Linked DNA regions of Arabidopsis thaliana. The protein of the gene in region 1 interacts with the protein of each later gene in a pairwise test. Each region holds a gene or a part of one and is shown on either strand. Other genes may lie near its edges.

What was found.
Region 2: the proteins of TPLATE (region 1) and CHC1 interact in a protein complementation assay, tested with the Arabidopsis thaliana proteins (one study listed by BioGRID).
Region 3: the proteins of TPLATE (region 1) and CLC2 interact in binary tests that used the Arabidopsis thaliana proteins (3 or more experiments, as listed by UniProt).

The regions. Positions count from the first base shown.
Region 1 is NC_003074.8:276,212-285,131, reverse strand, and holds TPLATE (ARM repeat superfamily protein), read right to left. Parts: upstream 6,251-8,920; 5' UTR 5,962-6,250; coding exon 4,828-5,961; intron 4,724-4,827; coding exon 4,127-4,723; intron 3,959-4,126; coding exon 3,597-3,958; intron 3,509-3,596; coding exon 3,205-3,508; intron 3,103-3,204; coding exon 2,980-3,102; intron 2,823-2,979; coding exon 2,373-2,822; intron 2,294-2,372; coding exon 1,733-2,293; 3' UTR 1,481-1,732; downstream 1-1,480. Other genes in the region: AT3G01790 (Ribosomal protein L13 family protein), read left to right, coding at 1-9, 211-377, 492-603, 1,034-1,252; BET10 (bromodomain and extraterminal domain protein 10), read left to right, coding at 6,746-7,825, 7,903-7,951, 8,038-8,121, 8,547-8,630, 8,714-8,829, 8,914-8,920. UniProt on the Arabidopsis thaliana protein: Functions in vesicle-trafficking events required for site-specific cell wall modifications during pollen germination and for anchoring of the cell plate to the mother wall at the correct cortical position.
Region 2 is NC_003076.8:4,566,439-4,573,157, reverse strand, and holds CHC1 (SWIB/MDM2 domain superfamily protein), read left to right. Parts: upstream 1-2,163; 5' UTR 2,164-2,284; intron 2,285-2,693; 5' UTR 2,694-2,713; coding exon 2,714-4,245; intron 4,246-4,389; coding exon 4,390-4,462; 3' UTR 4,463-4,678; downstream 4,679-6,719. Other genes in the region: MPL1 (Myzus persicae-induced lipase 1), read left to right, coding at 240-380, 478-588, 692-835, 932-972, 1,059-1,138, 1,225-1,320, 1,394-1,716; AT5G14160 (F-box family protein), read right to left, coding at 4,691-5,424, 5,501-5,825; AT5G14150 (Emb:.1 protein, putative (Protein of unknown function, DUF642)), read left to right, coding at 6,505-6,565, 6,660-6,719. UniProt on the Arabidopsis thaliana protein: Involved in transcriptional activation and repression of select genes by chromatin remodeling (alteration of DNA-nucleosome topology).
Region 3 is NC_003071.7:16,723,723-16,729,823, forward strand, and holds CLC2 (Clathrin light chain protein), read left to right. Parts: upstream 1-2,701; 5' UTR 2,702-2,841; coding exon 2,842-3,128; intron 3,129-3,476; coding exon 3,477-3,630; intron 3,631-3,943; coding exon 3,944-4,279; 3' UTR 4,280-4,485; downstream 4,486-6,101. Other genes in the region: AT2G40050 (Cysteine/Histidine-rich C1 domain family protein), read right to left, coding at 197-2,026; AT2G40070 (flocculation FLO11-like protein), read right to left, coding at 4,656-4,919, 4,999-6,101.

The DNA.
Region 1 (8,920 bases):
AGAGGCCAGGTTTTCTTTCTTCTACCTCTCTTCCAATCTACTCTCTCTTTCTTCTACCACTTTCTTCTTCTTATGCTTGGTTAGTTACATGACTACAGTGGCAAACATTTCCAGATTTTAGATAGGATGCCTTATCTTTGTTGTGTCTTTGTATTAAATCTGAATTGAATTGCTAGGATTTCATTTGTGAATATAACTTGTCTACTCTAGGTTCTTGGTAGACTAGCTTCCCAGATATCAACCGTGCTTCAAGCCAAAGATAAGCCTACTTATTGTCCTAACCGCGACGATGGCGATATTTGTATTGTTCTCAATGCTAAGGAAATCGGCTTCACAGGAAGAAAGCTCACTGACAAATTCTACCGTTGGCATACTGGGCAAGTTGCACTCTTTCTTTTAATGCTCCTGTGAATCTTCAGCTACTACAAGTGTTTTATCATATCTTTTAGTATCTCCCATTTTCATCTACTTTATTTAATCTCTCTTTGTAGGTACATCGGACACCTGAAGGAACGGAGTCTGAAAGATCAGATGGCCAAAGATCCCACAGAGGTCATTCGTAAGGCTGTCTGGCGCATGCTTCCAAGTAACAATTTGCGTGATGTGAGTACACTATAAACTGAAACATTTTCTAATCACCTGAATCCTCAGTCTTTTAGATCCCTGACTTTCTGGCTACAGATATTACCCCACACCTTGGCTTTACTCTTACTTGTTGATATCCATCATGAGTTGTGTGGAATGAGATTCTTGGTGTCCTATGTCTAGAAAGGTTGTCTCTCCTCACAAATCGGTCTTATCGAATGAGATGATATACCCTTGTTTTGAAAATCATTTAGGTTTGGAAGGAAGATTGTTCTGAACTCTTGGTTTTACCATTTTGTTATTTGTCCTTTATCTTTGGTGGGAATAGTGGCTTGTTTGTACTGATACATTCTCGCTTCTCAGCTCCTAAATGAATTGCTCGCATAGTTTAGGATGTGTTGCTTAAAACAAGAATGTGCTGAGGTTTTGTTGCTTTGTGTGGGTATAGGACAGGGATCGGAAGCTGAGGATATTTGAAGGCGGTGAGCATCCTTTTGGGGACAAGCCACTTGAGCCATTTGTGATGCCGCCTCGTAGAGTTAGAGAGATGCGACCGCGCGCAAGGCGAGCAATGATCCGTGCGCAGAAGAAGGCAGAGCAGGCAGAAAATGAGGGAACAGAGGTAAAGAAAGGAAAGAAGAGGACCCTCTCTGAAGTACCTGCGTAGAGGAATTACTTCAGAGGAAAGCTAGTGATGTGACTGTCTTTTTATTTGTAAGCAAAGTTCATAATGCAGACGTGGATAAGCTTTTAAGGCTTTCTTGTTTCTCAGACAATAAACCTGTTTCTGGATCTCAAACACTGTATCACAAATGAAGCCAAAACCATCTTCCTTAAACATGGATCTGTTTCTGGTTATCTTTCAGTTTTCTTCGTTGCAAAAAACAGAGCAATCTCACGCCAAACACTGCATGACTACAGAATGTTACTGATGGAAAATGGGTAAATGCATCCTTGGTTCCATAAACGTGTGAAATTTGTGAATAAGACGGAAGAATTCGTAAAAAAGGGCAATAGTAACATCCTTGGTTTGTTTCTTTTCTTCACCAACAACAATACAAAACATCTAAACCTACGAAGAAACCACACACAACAAAAGAAAACAAAGATTGTTGTAGCTTCATCTGAGAAAAAAGTACTCTCGCTCTTAGTTAACTTTGGTATATTTTCTATCTTTGCACAAGATGTGCCATTCTTGGAGCACTGCTGCCTGAAGCGCCATGTGCTCTGTTTCTTCTGCTGTCAGCTTAGAAAATGTTCCTTTTTCCTTCTCTTTTTTCTTCTTCTCTTCCTTGTCCTTTCCCTCTTCTTTCTCCTTTTTCTCTTTTACTTCTTCATCATCATCTTCTTCTTCTCCTTCTTCTTCTTCTTCGTTTTCTGATTCCTCCTCTATCTTTGAAGTCTTCTTCGGCTGAGCTGCCTTCAACAAAGCTATCCTCTCCATAGAGATCTTCAGCTTCTCGGCCGCGGTTGCCTTCACTTCGTCCTCTGGCATGTACTCAACGCCCCCGTCAGTTAGATCATCACACCATCCCTGAATATCCGACTCTATTTGCTTTGTGATTGATGCTTCTGATGCTCTAACCACAAACTTGCACATCATGGTGGTAGTCTCGTCACCCAGATCCATGTTCCTGCTCACTTCACTAGCGCCAAAGATCATCATACCCACAAAACCTCCATGCCACGTTTTTGCAGCGTAACAAAGCTGTAGTGACATCAAGTTAGGGGTTTATCAGACCATCAATCCAGTTAAGGAACAAGAAGAATAACAGAACCAAGTTCACCTGAAAGCCAGCAACTGTGCGTATAATGTGGGAACAGACTCTGTGGAATGGCTTCGAGGATAATGATTTGAGTCCGCTTAAAAATGGTGAAGCCCCATACTGTTGTGCGGCGGTCGCCATGAAGCCGCTTCCTTCATACATATATGTGCCAGTGTACTCTGCAACAGCTGGCAAGCTAGGCCACAAACGAAAGAACTCGACTGGTGAGATTTTGTGCGGTAGAAGAAGCTCAGTCAGTGGGATCTTGTAAGGCTGACATCTTAAGATCACAGGCTCTCCGAGTTCTGCTTTTGAACCTCTCTTCTGCTTCATGATCTGTGGATCCTCTTCTATGTAGTCACCGTCATATTCTCCCCTAGCACCACGGAATGGATAGTAGAGGACTTGAACCCAGAAACCACATCTTTCAAATTGGGACACACCAACGGTGACACTGCATTGTACAGGATCCTACAAAAGTAAATCACAGAGTCCATGATAATACAGCTAACATATACGAAACTGATTGATTGGTAAGAACAGAAACGGTTTCCAACTGACAAGACTTAAGAAATTAGAGAACTGTAAAGAGATGGGAGTATATAAGCACTGAAGAATGACATGCAACCTGTGAGACAAGATTACGCAACTGCCGCACTGCTTGAGGAGAGCCATCCATGAAGTATAGGGCACCAGATAATCCAACCCGTATATCCACACGATTCAGTTCAAGTTCTGTCAAATTAATAATCTGAAAGGTAACATAAAGTATAAGGTGTTGAGACGCTAAAACTTTATCCACTAAAACTGTATTCAAGTAACTGCAGGATGATACAGTAGAATATATACCAACCTTCAAGTGCAAAGTGACCCTTCCATCATTTGTATCTGCTAAATGGTAAGCTTCTATATAGCAAGGATCACTGCTTCCGGTCAAAGGATATGCTGTGGGAGGAACCTTGATAGAAGTTGAGTCGACCCCTTTTGTAAGGAAGAGAGTTAATTCAGTGGGCTTTGGCCTCCAAAGCTCGAGAATGGCCTTGTGAATTAGACCTTCTAATTTCCTGTCTTGAGCAGCTGATGGTTCGTAAAACTGAACAGTAAGCTTATGGTGGCTAAACGGGTAATCTCCTCTTGTCTCACTAACTCCAGCCCACCTGGAAAATAATAGGTTGTCTGAGTTCCAATCCAGAAATGCAGTAAAACTCACATAATAAAAGGATTACAAGCCAAGGGAAAGCTCACTTTCTTTCAGGAAGATTTGAAACATATTTGATCCTCTGCAATATTAAACGGGTTTGATGTTTGCTAACTGTATCTGCAGCAGCATGGTTCCTATACTCTTCAAGCTCTTTGGTTAATAACTGGCCAGCTCTTGCATGACGCGATCCCATCCTCTGGGCGCATAATAAGACTGCCTGAACATCTTGTAGCCTATTCGATGTAGTAGCAGCGGCATCCAAGTTGAAGAGAACCTTATGTATGTTTGCTATGATAATATTCAATGGATCATCGGGGTCATCAGCTAAAAGTGGATCTAGACCTTCTAGATCAATATGTTCTGCGATTGTCCATATAAGACGCCCGAGGATTCTTGGGGTATTTACCTGCCAAATTGAGATCAAGATTTTTATAAGACATTGACCACGTTTCAGTCCACAAGCAATAGTTCTCCTCCACATTTAGTATTAAATAGTACTTAAGAAAGCCTAACTAAAATTCTTCGAGGAAAATTGCCAAGGGTTACTTCTAACTTTCAGCTGAGGCTTAATTACCTCTTGGAGATCCTTAACAAGCTCACGTTGCAAGTTCTGCAATCGTGTCTCATTTAATATTTGATCCTGGGAAGCACCATCTTTCAGCCTCTTCACTCCTCCACGGGTATCATAGATATGGCACAGCCTAACAAGCAATTTCAAATAGCAATCTACAGCGTACGTCCTGCCATCACAATCCCATTTGACACAAGGCCTACAAACTTCCACAACCTCAAGGGCTGGTTCTGTCCAGTTCAGAGCACCATAACCAGTACCATATGCTAACGCACCAATCACTCTGCTCTCCATACCCGAGTTTTTTTGTTCAGGCAAAGGTAGAGACAACTGGAAGCAGCTTTCCACAAGCATTGCCACCAGCTCTTCCCGAAATAAGCTCTTACTGGTAACACTATTGAGATCATCTTTAATCCTTGCATCTTCAAAGAGAGAAATAATATCTGTCCCAGGCAGAGGCTTCTGACCTCTTCGGGCACTTTCTCTGGCAAAAAGGTGAACACAGAGAGCTGTCCGACAGATACAGGCTAATGCGTGCATCCTGTCCGATTCTGCTCTCAAGTTTCTCACCATAAGCAGCAGTCTTCTAAACAACGAAACCTTCGTAACAAATTCCAAAAAGAATGATTCAGAAATCATAGGCCACAGCTTCAAGACAAAGGTACACAACTAACCGAGCTTAAATGAAGTAAAAAACGACATACCTGCATATGCAGATCAAGCAAGTGCAGGTTCGTAACAACGGCCCTGACTATACTCTCTCTAGCAGAGGAAAATTCTTGGCGGTCCCAGAGTGTTAAAATTGCAATAATGGACTGTGAAGCCCACTCTGGCTTGCCTCCGGCAACATCTGCCAGGTAGAGCATGTTAATTCCCACTTCAAAAATCAAAGCTGGATCCAAAGAGGAAGCCAAGAATGGCGCCAAATGGGTAACCAAATCTGAGACGCCAACCAGCTTCTCGGCGTTGGAGTCCACAACGGTGGCATTAGCTGCAGCAGCAGCAGAGGAAGCCTTGGAAAGCTGTCTAATCACTTCGACACTACCGGAAGCAACAGCTTTGACAGCAAAGACAAGAGGGAAAACAGTGGCTCTGAAGGTTTCGACAGGAAGGACTAAAGACCTAGCCATCAAAGCGCTCCTCTTTCTCCATACAATGTCAACCATGGAAGAGACCCACTTGGACCTGATGGCGAGGGAGTTCTCGCTGTCAACGAGCTTATCGCCAGCAAGACGGCTCATCCGCTTGGAGTCGAACTCCTGGAAGAGTCTGCCGACGGACTCAAAGGCAACCTTGGAGACGGCGTCGGATTTGTCGAGCATGTTCTGGCCGATCCGAGCCCACCAGTTGGAGACCTTGTCGAGGAGACCCACATTGTTCTCGCACAAAGTAACGAGATCATCACGCGCGAGGATGCAGCCAAGTGTCTCGGTGATGGAAAAACGAAGGTTGTCAGATGGAGAATCGAAGCAGGAAGCAATCTCAGAGCTGCAATCAGAGATGAGTTTAGGAAGCGAGAAGGCAGGGAGAGCCGCAAGGATGGAGACGGCAGCGGCGGTAACATCCGGGTCCGGAAAATGAAGATCCGTTTTGACACCTGAGCAAACGGTGTCCCAAAGATCCGGAGTGAGGCGGGTAGATCGGATGAGATCGAATGCCAGCTTCTTACAAACAGCTGAAGCCGGAGAAGCAACAATCTCCTCCACAGCAGACTTAGCGATCACAGAGATATCTCTTCCGGCGGCGGATTGCTGCAGCGCCTGAAGAAGCGCCGATGACTGGCGAAGCGCGTCATTTGAACGGAGGTCCGCCTGGATCTGAGCAAAAAGAATGTCCATAACCGGATCGAATTAACTGAAATTCGAGATCCAAAATCTGAGCTAACTAGCTTCGCTGTCAATCTGTGTACGTATGCGACATGGAACTGGAAGAAGAAGGATGTGTAAATCAAACCATCAATTGAAGAAGAAGGAGAAGAAATTGTTTTCGAAGGAAAAAAGCGCGTGCCGTTCCTGCGATTCGAGCTTTCACAGCGTGCCGTGTTGAGTCATCCGTAGACCCAATAAAGGCACATTAAAAAGTTCATTGGGCTTTACATTATAAGCCCAGGATATTATTTTTATGCACCGAAGTATTTGCATTCGATTTTAATTCGAGGGATCAGATCCGACGGTCCAGATTGAGTCCTGCCCAGTAGCAAAACGGCGTTAGACGCAGCATTCGTTAGGGACGGGACACTAGAGAAGGGAGGGCAGAGAGCGATTTTGTTCTCTCTCTACTTCTCGGTCGTCTTCTTCGTCTCCACTCTAGGGTTTTACTCTATCTTCTTCTTCATCATCATCTTCTACACCAATCTCTAGCGTTAATCTGTTTCTGCTGGAGAAGATTTACGCTTGTTCCTCGGTTCTCTTACTTCTGCTCCGGTTCGATCGCTTGCTAAGTGTTTCGAGTTGGTTAGTTCCGAATTTCCTTTTTTATGCATATTGAGTGTTCACTGCTCTCCTCCAGCAATACTATAGGGCTCTAAGAATTGAATTGCTTTCAGGTTTTCATAGTTAGGGTTTCTCAAAACTGACTTAAATATTTTGATTTGTGCAGGTTCGCACTTCGGTGGGCGATATCATGACTGTGAGGAACGGTGGTTTCCCAGGAGATTATAATCGTAACAGTTTTGACTCTCCCGGCGGCTGTGATGATAGCCCCAATGCTTCCAAGGATGATGAAACTTTTGGTGTCCCGAGAATAGTTTTACCCTTGTCTGACTTGTCATCATCAGAAAGGAGAAAGTGGATTCATACGCTTCGTCAGGAGCTGGAACAACTACGGTCCTTTCAGAAGAGTGTTGGGGACCTTCTTCCTATATCTAAGATTGTTACTAGTACACCTGCAAGTAATGTGTCTCGCCCCAAGAGTTTTGGAATGTCACGATGCTCTACTGGCCCTGGAAAAAGGGTGCTCCCCTTCACAGCAACCAAACCAGAGCCAGTCACCACTTCCACTATGCTTCGGATGAAGCAATGTGAGAGCCTCCTTAAACGATTGATGTCGCAGCAGCATTGTTGGCTCTTTAATACCCCTGTGGACGTCGTCAAGCTCAACATTCCTGATTATTTCACCATTATCAAACATCCTATGGATTTAGGAACTGTTAAAAGCAAGTTAACTTCCGGCACGTATTCAAGCCCTTCAGAGTTTTCTGCTGATGTCCGTCTTACTTTCCGCAATGCTATGACTTATAACCCGTCAGATAATAATGTGTATCGCTTCGCTGATACTCTCAGCAAGTTTTTTGAAGTGAGATGGAAAACTATCGAGAAGAAGTCATCCGGAACCAAATCTGAACCAAGTAACTTGGCTACTCTTGCTCACAAAGATATTGCGATACCTGAGCCTGTGGCTAAGAAGAGAAAGATGAATGCTGTGAAACGTAACAGCCTCTTAGAGCCTGCTAAGCGGGTTATGACAGATGAGGATAGAGTAAAGCTTGGCAGAGATTTGGGGTCCTTGACAGAATTCCCTGTACAGATAATAAATTTCCTGAGAGATCACAGCTCCAAGGAAGAGAGATCTGGAGATGATGAGATAGAGATTGACATCAATGATCTCAGTCATGATGCCTTGTTCCAGTTGCGGGATCTCTTTGATGAGTTTCTGCGAGAAAATCAAAAGAAAGATTCAAACGGTGAACCCTGTGTGTTAGAGGTAATCACCTTTCTATATCTCATTCTTGATCCATTTGTTAACATGACTGATAAACAGCGAAAACTTTCTTGATGTAGCTTTTACATGGGTCAGGGCCAGGAAATTCATTGACGCAACACTGTGATGGTTAGCATACACTGGTTTTGTTGTTTGAGCTAATTCGCATGTCCTACTCTATGATTAAGCTGTCATTTCCTCCTCGTTACTTGCAGGGAGTGAATTGGAGGACGAGGATGTTGACATTGGTAATTATGAGCACCCTATATCTCACATCTCAACTGTCAGAACAGAAAAAGGTATGGCGTTAGAGAACTACAGTGGTTTGTTTAATCTTGCTACATTGTATTTGTCTTTTTCTCTATGGAGCTTTTGCAGACGTTTGATGTTTGCAATTCTTATATGTACTTAACCCTCGGAACCATTTTACTTCCCTCTTGTCAGAAGTGGCCGTCCATCTAGAATACTCAATGTTACTTCTGTAGTTTTTTTGGAGTGAAACTTACTGACCTTACTGATAGCAACTCATATTACACACCTAGTATGATAGTGATAGACCTGTTACATTTTCTGCTTGTTTTACTCCCAGGTCGCTGTTTGCTATTTTCTATAGTGATCATATTATCTCTAATCAGTGATTACTCCTCTTTTGGTGCAAAAGATGTTAAGTTTTGTTGATATTAATTAATAAACCTTGGTTTTCTTATTCCCTTTCTAAAAGCAGATTCCGTCGGTGGATTGAATCAGATGGAAGATGCATCCAGAGGGAAGCTAAGTCTTATTGAGGGGGCAGATGGTCATCAAGATGGTAAGCTCAGAAGTGTAGCAGAAAAATATCTGTGCTCTAATATCTGAGGGTGGCATCTCACTCTTGACCCATTAATAATTTAGGAAATAGTGCTCCAAAAGAGAAGGAACTACCTCCAGAAAAGCGTTACAGGGCTGCTCTATTGAAAAATCGATTTGCGGATATAATCTTGAAGGCTCAAGAGATAACTCTTAATCAGGTTAGCTGTGTTTGTGGAGGTGTGAGCTGTTATATCTGGTTAGCCCTCCCTCTTTGACTTTCAAAATTATATTTGTGAGATCAGAATGAGA
Region 2 (6,719 bases), on another chromosome or scaffold:
TTAAAAATCATCGATAAAGTGCATAAGTACAAAACTTGATGAGATCAGTACTACTATTTTCATCAGCCTGCTAGAAAGAAAATACTTTATGACTTGCCTTATGTTTTAAGTTTTATGTGGACAGAGACGACAGTCGTACGTATGCAGAATTGTAATTTGTCTCTTTGACAACATGGTCCTTTAATTTCTTATAGTTTACATTACTATGATAGTCAAATAATCATGAGTTAAATGTGCAGGATGGGATGTCATGGCTGTTGAATCCAGCGGATCAAAATCTGCCGTTGATTTTGGCGGATCAAGGATTCGATGTGTGGATGGGGAACACAAGAGGGACTAGATTCAGCAGAAGACACAAGTACCTTAACCCTTCTCAACGGGTCTGGTTCAGTGAACCACTGTTTTAACCAGTAGATTACGTATATATCTTTACTAAGGAAACTGATATTTAACATCGTTGGCACGTTGTGGACTTAGGCTTTCTGGAACTGGACGTGGGACGAGCTTGTGAGTTACGATCTGCCTGCTATGTTTGACCATATCCATGGCCTAACAGGCCAAAAGATTCACTACCTCGGACACTCTTTGGTGGGTCCAACGTTATCAACATATTTTTTCTCTGATTTTTTTCTTTTTCTTATAGTAATATATCTTCTCATAATAGAATGAAAAATGAAATGGAAATTGTCAGGGGACGTTAATAGGATTTGCTTCGTTCTCAGAAAAAGGGTTGGTGGATCAAGTGAGATCGGCGGCGATGTTGAGTCCCGTTGCTTATCTCAGCCACATGACCACCGTCATCGGCGATATCGCCGCAAAAACCTTCCTCGCCGAGGTCCCTAGCTTCTCCCTTGTAATACCCTTTTTTATTCTTATACAAATATGTGCCTACAGTTATGAAAATAACTTGTTTATCGTCTTTCAAAAATAGGCCACCTCTATTCTTGGATGGCCAGAGTTTAACCCGAAAAGGTAAATCTTCACCCTTTTTTCTTAAAATATGCTTGTTATTATTGGCTTGATTTGATTACGTAAAATAGTTAAAACAACATTTGCAGTGGATTAGTAGGGGATTTTATAAAGGCTATATGCCTTAAAGCGGGGATCGACTGTTATGATTTAGTCTCTGTTATCACTGGTAACGCTACAACTAAAAAAGTCCACCAATCTACCATTGATGAATTAATTACATATATTAATTAACGTAATTTTACAAAAACATAGGAAAGAATTGCTGCCTTAACGCATCAACCATTGATCTGTTCCTTGCCAACGAACCTCAATCTACTTCCACCAAGAACATGATCCACCTTGCTCAAAGTAAGTGAAACAAATTCCCATTTTTTAAAAATTATTTTATAAACCTTAAATTGTTCAAATTATTTATTTGTAGCGGTAAGAGACAAGGAGTTGAGAAAATACAACTATGGAAGCAGTGATCGCAACATAAAACATTACGGTCAAGCGATACCACCGGCATACAACATATCGGCGATCCCACACGAGCTTCCGCTTTTTTTCAGCTACGGTGGTTTAGATAGCCTGGCTGATGTGAAAGACGTTGAGTTTCTCCTTGACCAGTTTAAGTATCACGACATCGATAAGATGAATGTGCAGTTTGTGAAAGACTATGCTCATGCTGATTTCATCATGGGTGTTACTGCCAAAGACGTTGTTTATAACCAAGTTGCTACCTTTTTCAAACGACAAGCTTGATAATATTATTACCTTGTCATTAGTTTATGTAATTGCATGTGCCCATATTCTTCAATTGTTTCCCTCTAAACAAAATGGGCAAAAATAAAATTAAAATTTTTATGAAAAAGTATACCAGTCTACTAGCTTCTAATTAAAATAATCCCAATATTTAATTTAGATTTTTTTTTTCTTTAATCTATAAACAATGGGGCAACCATTATCTAATTTACCCTAGTTTTAGGTATATTTAAGAAAGAACACTAAAACTACAGATTCGTATTTGACAAAAAAAAAAAAAGGAAACGAAAAACTATAGTAAAACAAAATTATGTGGAATGCTTTTCTTTTTAATTTTGTCGTCAAATTGTATGTGGATTTGTCGTTGAAAAAAAAACACATGGATTAAAGTTGGGCCAGTTTGATATAACTCAATGTGGGCTTTAAAAATACGGGTCGGGTCTTAACCCGGACAGTAAAATAGATAGCTCCGGTGGGCATTTGTTTTTGTTTTCTCTCTCGAGTCTCGACAACTGAGAAGCAACGGAACACCGGTGAATCCCGGAAAGAAGGTGAATCAAAAAAGCAGGTACCAAGCTGCGAATCTTCGTTTTTTTAAGGAATTCTCGATCTTTATGGTGTATAGGCTCTGGGTTTTCTGTTTTTTGTATCTCTTAGGATTTTGTAAATTCCAGATCTTTCTATGGCCACTTAGTAGTATATTTCAAAAATTCTCCAATCGAGTTCTTCATTCGCATTTTCAGTCATTTTCTCTTCGACGTTGTTTTTAAGCCTGGGTATTACTCCTATTTAGTTGAACTCTGCAGCAATCTTAGAAAATTAGGGTTTTGAGGTTTCGATTTCTCTAGGTAACCGATCTATTGCATTCATCTGAATTTCTGCATATATGTCTTAGATTTCTGATAAGCTTACGATACGTTAGGTGTAATTGAAGTTTATTTTTCAAGAGTGTTATTTTTTGTTTCTGAATTTTTCAGGCTGATAGGTTTATATAGCAATGTCTGGTAACAACAACAATCCACAAAAGCCTCAAGGCTCTGCGCCTTTGCCTTTTGGGAATCCTGGGATGGCCTCTGCATCTGTTCCTGGAAACCAAGGTTTTGCTCAGTCTCATATGGCAGCTAACTTTCAAGCTCAGTTTCAGTTCTCTCAAGCTCAGGCCCTAGCCCATGCTCAAGCACAGTCTAAAGTTCAAGCACAACTGCAAGCTCAGTTACAAGCTCAAGGCATGACGATGAACCAAGCACAAGGTTCTCCGGGGATTGGTGGCTTGGGTCCTTCTTCTCCTTCTTTGACGACTCCTGGAAGTTTAAACATGAAGAGATTCCAGCAGAAACCGCCGATGCGACCTCCTGGTGCTCCTGCGAGTAACAACACTATCTCCCCAATGAGAACAATGGAGTTAACTCCTGCTGCTCGGAAAAAGAAACAAAAGCTTCCAGAAAAGTCATTGCAGGAGCGGGTGGCTGCAATCTTGCCAGAGTCTGCCTTATACACACAACTTCTGGAGTTTGAGTCTCGGGTTGATGCTGCGTTAACTAGAAAGAAAGTTGACATCCAGGAAGCCCTTAAAAACCCTCCCTGCATACAGAAGACTCTTAGGATCTACGTTTTCAACTCGTTTGCTAACCAAAACAACACGATCCCTGGGAATCCTAATGCTGACCCGCCAACATGGACTCTTAAAATTATTGGTAGGATACTGGAAGATGGGGTGGATCCCGACCAGCCAGGGTTTGTTCAGAAAGCAAACCCATTGCATCCCAAATTCTCGTCTTTCTTCAAAAGGGTTACAGTTTCCCTGGATCAGAGGCTGTATCCTGAGAACCCATTGATCATATGGGAGAATGCTCGATCACCTGCTCCTCAGGAAGGCTTTGAGATAAAGAGGAAAGGGAATCAGGAGTTTGCTGCTAGTATACGGTTGGAGATGAACTACGTCCCTGAAAAGTTCAAGCTTTCTACTGCATTGATGGATGTTCTCGGGATTGAGGTTGAAACCCGCCCAAGAATCATCGCTGCAATTTGGCATTACGTTAAGGCGAGGAAACTGCAGAACCCAAATGACCCCTCTTTCTTCAACTGTGATGCTGCACTTCAGAAAGTTTTTGGAGAAGAAAAGTTGAAATTCACTATGGTCTCTCAGAAAATATCTCATCACTTGTCGCCTCCACCACCTATTCACTTAGAACACAAAATCAAGCTCTCAGGAAATAATCCGGCCGTATCAGCATGTTACGATGTGCTAGTGGATGTACCCTTCCCGATCCAAAGAGATCTGAACAATTTGCTAGCCAACGCAGAGAAGAACAAAGAGATTGAGGCTTGTGATGAAGCAATATGTGCAGCCATAAGGAAAATCCATGAGCATAGGAGGAGGCGGGCATTTTTCTTGGGGTTCAGCCAATCGCCAGTTGAATTCATAAACGCCCTGATCGAATCTCAGAGCAAGGATCTAAAGGTCGTTGCGGGAGAAGCCAGTCGAAATGCTGAGAGAGAACGTCGATCAGACTTCTTCAACCAACCTTGGTAAGCTAATCATCTAGACTCTGCTACTCTGGCCTTTATTCGCACAGATGATATGTATTAAGAGTTGTAAAATGTTTTTTTTTTTTTTTGGTCAAAGAGTTGTAAAATGTTTCTGAATCATAATTTGGGGTAAAATGTTTGCAGGGTCGAAGATGCAGTTATACGTTACTTGAACCGGAGGCCAGCAGCTGGGAACGATGGGCCAGGGAGTTGGTGAGTTTCTTGACGATACAAGTCTCTTCATCTGTTTGAGCATTTTTAGTAGAAGATATTGTTGAGATTAGTCTGGTTTAAAAGTGAACTAGTGTATCTGTAATCTTGTGTATGTTGAAACATTACTACTTTATATAATTAGCTTTGTTTTGTAGCCTTTGCGTTAATGGTTAAGTCATGTTTTTATTAGCAAAAGGAAAATAACATTGGCATTATTAAAAAAAAAAAACACTTAAAGTTGAACAAAAACGAAAATGTTTGGAAAGAGTATCATTGTGAAGTAAGAAGTGGGGAAGAGCCAGCGAGCATTAGAGAATGGTCTGGAGGAGATAGAAGAAGACGAAAGGCGTTGAACCTTCTGGGAGGAGAGATTGAAGACGAAGACATCCTTTTGGCTAGATGGAAGACCGCTGAAATAGGTGGAGTTTCTGGTAATACCTTGGATATCGGAGGATGCTTGCACGGTGATACCTAGATCCAAGATCACGGCCTGGTCGCCACGAAAAAGCCAGGAAAGGTCACGACGTTTAAGAACGCAGCCAACCATCAAAAAATCTCCAGAGATGGTGATTACTATGTTGGTCTTCCAGTCAAGATAGTCTGTCCAAATTGTATCATAAGGGCTAAAAGATCCCAAGCGGAAGCGAAAGGGATAGAGCTGAACATGAGCAGTTTTTGTTACAAACTTCAAATCCGAGATTCCGATGCTACCATCCTCATAGTAAATGTAAAGTTTGTGGTCCTTGAGGGCAATATCACTACACCCCAACAAAGGAGGAATCTGGCGCCATTCACAATCGCCTTTCTTGCAAAAGGCTGCATGCTTGTCTCCACCCCAGCTGCAAGCAACTACGTAGTCTTTAGTTTTCTCGTCTATCCACACAACTGCCTTATCAGTACTAGGGTATCCCATCATCTCGGCTTTGCTTGCAAAATGACCTTTTCTGTAGAGTACGCTGAAAAGAGCTGGTCACGTTGAGACTCGATAGCTACTAGGTTAATCCTCTCCAAATTTAGCACATTCACAAGATATAGATTTAACCGAGGAGCCAGGTGCCGCAACTTGCAAGGCAAGGATCCACACCAAGGTCTTGAATTGTGTAAACGTTTTCTTCTTCCTGTGGATTGTACAACATGCAACTGCGTCTGATTTGTGCTGGATCAGGGAAAAGAATTAGCCACGGAACCTGATTAGGTTTGGAGACACAGTCTCCCCAAACCCTACACCAAGTGGAACAAACCGCCCTAGCTCGATGAAAATCCGAGAGTCTCAGCCGTCGCAGAACCAATCTGATCACATCCTCAGGAAGCTCCGACCAATCCACCCCCCTAGAATTGAGAGCTTGACGTTTGTGAATCAAAGCCATATCTAAAAGTCGTCACAAACTGCACTCTTTTTACTTTTCTAAAGCCAGTTATGACGAGGCAATCTAAACCAAATCAAATTCCAAATTCAATCAGGATTTGCTTTTGATACGTAGTAATCATATACAGTATATATGTTCGAGAAAAAAACATAATAATTTATGGCAAAAATATTTTGGTAATTCCACAAGTATTTAGTAGGTTATTTCATTTCGTGACTTTTGTTTTTTACGATTATGCAATGTTTTGTATGTCTTCAAGACTGCTTAAAAATAATAATTCGGTCAATACACCAACCACTAAGAGTCTAAGAGTGAGTTAAGAGTTAGGTTGGAGTAACCAAATTAAATAGAACATTGTTCACACTCTCAATTCACCAACCTTTTGTTTCCTGAAATGTACAAACACTAGAACCAGATCCAAAAAGACACAGTTCTACTATATGGATGATGGCCCTGGCTTCTTCAAACCATCTGTGTGTTTAGTCTTCTCATTTGTGCACAACTCAAAGACAAGTCCACTAAGGTGAAAGAGAATTATTAATATATTTATTAATGATCAACTTTATGCTAACATGTTACAGCATCATTCTTCTCGTTAAATATTTTACTAATTAATAGACACATTCACTGGATCCAAGAAGCGTTGACGTTCAAGGTTTTCTTTGTAGTTTGAAGCAAAATGGCGATATGGTTTCAGAGAATTTTCCTGTTGCTTCTCGTTTCCTGTTGCGCCTCTTCAGGTACATTGGAATCTCAAATGCTTCGTTATATATTTGTTCTTTCATCTTCAGAACTCAAATTGATAAACTAAAGTTTGTACATTTTGATATGCAGATTTTTTGGAAAATCCAGACTTCGAATCTCCACCGTTAAACTTACCTACAAACTCAAATG
Region 3 (6,101 bases), on another chromosome or scaffold:
TGATTGCCTTTCTAATCGCATAAGCACATGGTTAGAAATTATATCTTGTGTTGACCGATGCAGCTCCTCCGGCAGAAAATCATCTAATTCAAAGAGCTCTTGTGTAATTGCACGAATTGAGAAATCAGTTTAGTTTTATGAAATTGAAATCAATAATAGAGAAATTACATTTTATTCAGATGCATGGATACATTGTTTAAATACATTCATATGAACATTCAACACGGTAGCCTACATCATATATTTTCCCTATACAACGGTTCTTGCAAGAACCACATAATGGTCGAGAAATATTACATTTGGGAAGAACTTGAACCCTGCATACCCATTTATTGAAATATTGACCGGGCTTGATATATGGGTCTCCACCAATTAAGCATTCAATATGAAAAGTGGTGCAACACTCGTTGCACCAGTAGAATACTTTTGTGCATGTATCCTTTAAACTACGTTCACATATTTCACACCATTCTTGCTCACGTACTTCTTCACCAAATGAAATTGTGAGGAAGTGTGTGTCATGCTTATATTTTATTTTGTATGGTAAGGTAACACACTTAAAACATACAATGAAATTGCATTTGATGCAATTTAATTGTTTTAAACATTCTGTTTTGCATATATGACATATGGGTTTTATTTCTGGGTTTAAAGCTAGGAACAAGGGATCTTCATGACCTTTGTAATCAAACGGCTCAGAAATTAAAGCGCACCTTACATCAAGCTTGAAAAAGTTGCATACCTCCATCCTACAGTGATAGGCAAAGCCAATAGAACCACGATCACAAGCGTTGCAACGGAAGGTATTGTAAGTAAAGCTATTGATAACCTCCAATACAAGTGGGTGAGGATGTAAGGCATGTTGGATTCTACGGGGAGCCTTAGCACATGTTTCATGGAGGATGAAATCACACTCCATACAAACATATAAGTTACCTTCATAGATAGGAATGGCACACGCTTGACAAAGCATGTTTTCATCATAAACGTTGCTGACCTCGAGTCGGAGATGATGATTATGATGAAAATAAAGTATCACTCCTTCAGATATCACCTCGAACGGTCCATCATTTTCTGTTATATCGATTATCTCTGGTATACCTTCGAGTTCTTTTCCATCCCACACATCTTTCCCAAGAGCGCATATTGAATGAACAACATAATCGCTACACGTGTCACAAGTATATGCACCATAATCAACGTTAATACTTAAACGGCAAACTCCACAAAACCATTCTCTAGATGTAAGAGAAAAAGTGAACGAGATACGATGACGGTGACGTGATATCTTGATGATGTGTGGGGAATTCATACAGTCATTATGAGTTACAAAGTTACATCTGAAACAAACGTAGGTGGGATAAATTTTTCTCAACAAACCACAAACATTACAAGTCAAGGAAGTTTGTCTGGGGAAAAAAGTGAGAGGATGGATATGCTTTTTTGGTGGGTCTATAAGAAAAGGTATTGGCTTCATCGCACATATGGGATGCATAAAAGCCTGGCATGTGGTGCAATGATAAATCAACCAATGTGCTTTTCTTCCACAACATAAACACTCAATCTTACGAAAGTTATCATCATGAAAGAAAAGTTGGAGATAGTGCTCAGGGTGGTAAGGATGTTTGATTATAAGTGGAGATTGAATGCATTCTTTGTGTAATTTTATGCTACAATAGTTGCAGAAATAATAGTCGGTGCCGGAATTTGAGCCTTCGCATATGTAGCATCCACCATCAGCATCAAATTCTTTATTGTTGCACCAAAACAAAGGGAGTACATGATGATCATGAGAGGTCGTCGTTGTAGAAAGGACGTACTCGGGGGAAGAATTAAGCGGATAAGTGTCTGAATACGACTTGATTTTTCGACGTCGTGATCGAGGGCATAAGAAAAGAGGTTGAAGGTCACTGGAGGAGGTTACGGTCTGTGTTTGGGGTATGGGGCAATATTTCGGATGATGGTATACCAAAACAAGGTTACCATCCTTTTCCACCTCATAAAATCCTCCGACGCTAGAATCCATGAATGTGTTAAGTCTTTGTTTATTTTTGTTTTAGGCTTTTATAAAAAAATATTTGTCATACAAGATATCAAGTTGTTAACATTTTTCCTCTATAAATACGAAAATTTGATTCCAAAAGTTTTCTTCTACTCTTGATTATTAATATACTTAAACGTGAAAACATATGGTTGATTTTGTTCCTTTTCTCAGTAGTTGTGATGATAATGTTCTTCTTTACATGCAAATAAAGAATCAACTTTTCTTTGCACATAGTTTTGTTCATTTCTGATGTTCCATGACTTCAAGACTCTATATTAATCGTGCTCAATGATTGTGCCAATTCATTAGTAGTGTATAATTTGAGACTTTGTGAACTCAATCACGAAACACACAAAAAGAAAATGAAGGTTTATTCAAAAAAAAAAAAAAAATGAAGGTTTGAAATGGAAAATGAAACAATCGTACCAAAACCAAATTGCAAAACGTTTTAAACAAGAAAAGAAGAACACGTAGTTTCAATGATCCGGTTGAATTAGAAAGTAGAACAACCGAACCCACACTAAATTGCAAAACGTTTTGATTAAGATAAGAAGAACACGTATGGAACATTAATTGTAATCTAATGGATCGGTTGGAACCTAAACCATAACTAAACCGGAATACTCATGATGAATTGGAAGTATTTGGGCTCGAAAAAAGCCCATTAAGAAAAATGGAAATAAAAATAGTCACAAATCTCCGTTATTAATTTTTGCCATAAGCTTGAGAACACTTGAAAAGACAAGATTCGCGAGTTCTTCGTTCTGCCTTTTTTTTTTTTTTTGTGTGTTCGAGAGATGTCTGCCTTTGAAGACGATTCCTTCGTCATACTCAACGATGATGCGTCTGAGTCTGTTCCAGTCTCAGGCTCTTTTGACGCCACTGATTCTTTCTCAGCTTTCGACGGCTCACTCCAAGTCGAGGACTCCGTCGACGATGTTTTTGCAGCGCCGTCTTCTGACTACGGTGCTTACTCCAACGGTGACGGCATCTTCGGATCCAACGGGGATCACGACGGTCCTATCTTGCCACCACCGTCGGAGATGGAATCAGATGAGGGATTTGCTCTTAGAGAATGGAGAAGGTTAGATCTACTCAAAGTTTTGATCTTTGTTGCTTTTTGTTTACTTCTTCCTGAAGAAAATCGATAAAGTGGATAAATTTAGTTGAGAATCTCTTTGATAATCTGAGAATTTCAATTTTGAATTTTGATTCACAATTTTTGTGAATTGAAGTTATCTGCTAGTTAGTGTCCATTGTTCTCAGAAGTAATCAGTTTATTAGATTGGATCTGTTACTTTTGCTTAGAGTTTATTGCTCAAATCGTGTGTTCTAGAATAACATCTTGATCCGTAAGCTTGTAATGCTTGTTGAGTTGATTAAGATGTATAGATCTGATTTCGTGCTATGGCTTTATTATGTTTATGTGTAGACAAAATGCAATTCAACTTGAGGAGAAGGAGAAGAGAGAAAAGGAATTGTTGAAGCAAATTATTGAGGAAGCTGATCAATACAAAGAAGAGTTTCATAAGAAGATTGAAGTAACTTGTGAAAACAACAAAGCAGCTAACAGAGAGAAGGAAAAGGTTTGTTCTTTTGCTAAAAGATTTGAATTTTTTATCATCTTTTCTCAATCTGTGTTGTTGTCATGTGGTTTGTGGAGAATTGTCAATGCAAGTCAATGGCTTGTTGATATTAAAATTTTCAAACTTTGACCATCTTAGTCTTAAGTCAACTGTGATTGATTATCTTAATGCATTGTCAGTTTTGAGATTATCTTAATACATTGATTATCTTCATTACGTGTGTGATCTTTGATACCTTTTTATCTGCATATTGCATTGTTACAGTGTTGATTAAACTTTCACTTATGTGTTTATTTGTCTTTGAACACTTAAGCTGTATCTGGAGAACCAAGAGAAGTTCTACGCGGAATCCAGCAAGAATTACTGGAAGGCAATAGCAGAGCTAGTTCCTAAAGAAGTTCCAACAATAGAGAAAAGGAGAGGAAAAAAAGAGCAACAAGATCCTAAGAAGCCAACAGTCTCTGTGATTCAAGGTCCAAAGCCCGGTAAGCCAACCGATCTAACAAGAATGAGACAAATATTGGTGAAGCTCAAACACAACCCACCTTCTCACCTGAAACTCACTTCTCAACCTCCATCGGAGGAGGCGGCTGCTCCTCCAAAGAATGTTCCCGAAACCAAGCCCACTGAGGCAGTTACTGCTGCTTAAAAACCTCCTTTGTTTTCTTATTCGTTGCTTACATCTGTGTGAATTCAGTCTTTGCATTTCATTATGTGTTATAAACAGCTGAGAGATTTTATGGTTCATGTGTGTTATTAACATAATTATGTCATATTGGAATGATAACTTTTTATGTTTTAGTCAGTTACCATTGAATAGTGGTTAATATCTCAAATCAATCGGTTAAAGGATCCATCCATTTTAGGGTTAAAGTAGAGACGAGAGTGGAGAGGTTTACATAAAACATCAAAACGCTACTTCACATATCATCATTATCAAACTCGTGTGATAATTAAAACTCACAAACAATAAAAGAGAATCTCAAATGTGAACGTTTTACAAAAGGCTTTTCTTCTTTCTTCCTTCATCTCCCTTGTAAGCTTGCAGGGGACCTGCAACCTCTCTCGCTGCCTGCGTCGTCTTCCTTTTCACTTGCCTCTAAGCAAATGCCATTGTTGTTGCAGACACTGATCTCTGAGCTTGCGTTGCTGCTTGTTGCTAGTGGAGAAGAGTCTGAAACATTCATCGGTCTACCACGTGTATGTCCAGACCTCACACTGTACATTGATGATGCTGGAATATTCGTCATTAGTGGTCTCAGGTTCCCTGGAATAGTTCTACGTATATCCTGTTTTCATCAAAACGTTTGATCATCAGTTAAACGCAATTGCCACCACTTGAGGAAGAGAGAAGAGAGAGATACATACCATATGCCTTATTGCCATATCAAGGGACTTCTTGGAGAGCGTTCTTCCAAATCCTGCACTGTCGGGTGATGAAGACTTTGCAGACAAGTTACCATGAGGAGAACCCTTGTCATCTGATCTGGGTGGAGCAAGTTTCCGCATGTTTATTACTCTCTCCACCATTTTTGTTCCCATCATCACCGGACTAACATTGTCACTGGCTTTGGAATATCCACGATTAACCGCAGGAACAGAGCTACCACTAGAGTACATTGGTGCTCTTCCTCTTGATGGTGAACATGATTGCCTTCTTGGTCTTCCTCCTGGAGGGCCCCCTGGCTCAACTGAACCAGAACGAGAGCTTGGAGCTCCAGGTCTGCCTCTTGTCGCTGAAAGTGGCCTTTCGGGTAATGTTGTCCTTAGATTTGGAGGAGTTTCTAATGAGAAACCAGGCATGTCTGACGGCTTCCATGGTCTTGACCTCACTGTAGGAGATGCTGCACGAGATAAAGCAGGGTTCTTAGATGGTGTTGGCATAGGCTTTGCTGGCGCTGGAGAAGAAGGCTTGATTTGGGATATTGTGGGATTTGCTGTAGTAGTTGCAGCACTTGCAGAAGCAATTGGACGGCGAGTTGGTGTAGATGACCTTGATATGGTTTTAGATGGAGGAAGTGTGGGTCTTGAAGTTGGTGTTGAAGATCTGGCAGTAGATCTTGACAGAGGTGTGGTGGACCTTGAAGGACCTGCAGATTTTGTGGTGGTGCTAGGGGTAGATCTAGTTACTGAACCAGCAGATCTAGCAGTTGAGGTAGTCGGCTTAGATGCAGTAGGTGTGAGCCTAGATGATGATAAACTTGTTGACCTACTCATAGGCGTGGGCTTAGTCGTTGCAGATACTGTGGACCTCGAGTTAGTCAAAGAAGGTCGAGTAGCTGAGGAGACAGTGGCTCGCGAAGTGGGTGTTGAAGGCCTTGAGGATTTTGAATTTGCCGTCAGTGTTGATGATCTTCCAGTGGGTGTGGCAGGTCTTGATCCAGGTCCTCCAGATGATGAAGGTCTTCGACTTGCTCCACTGGAAGAGCTCAATCCAGGAGAAGAAGTTTGTTGTCTAGATGTTAGATGGT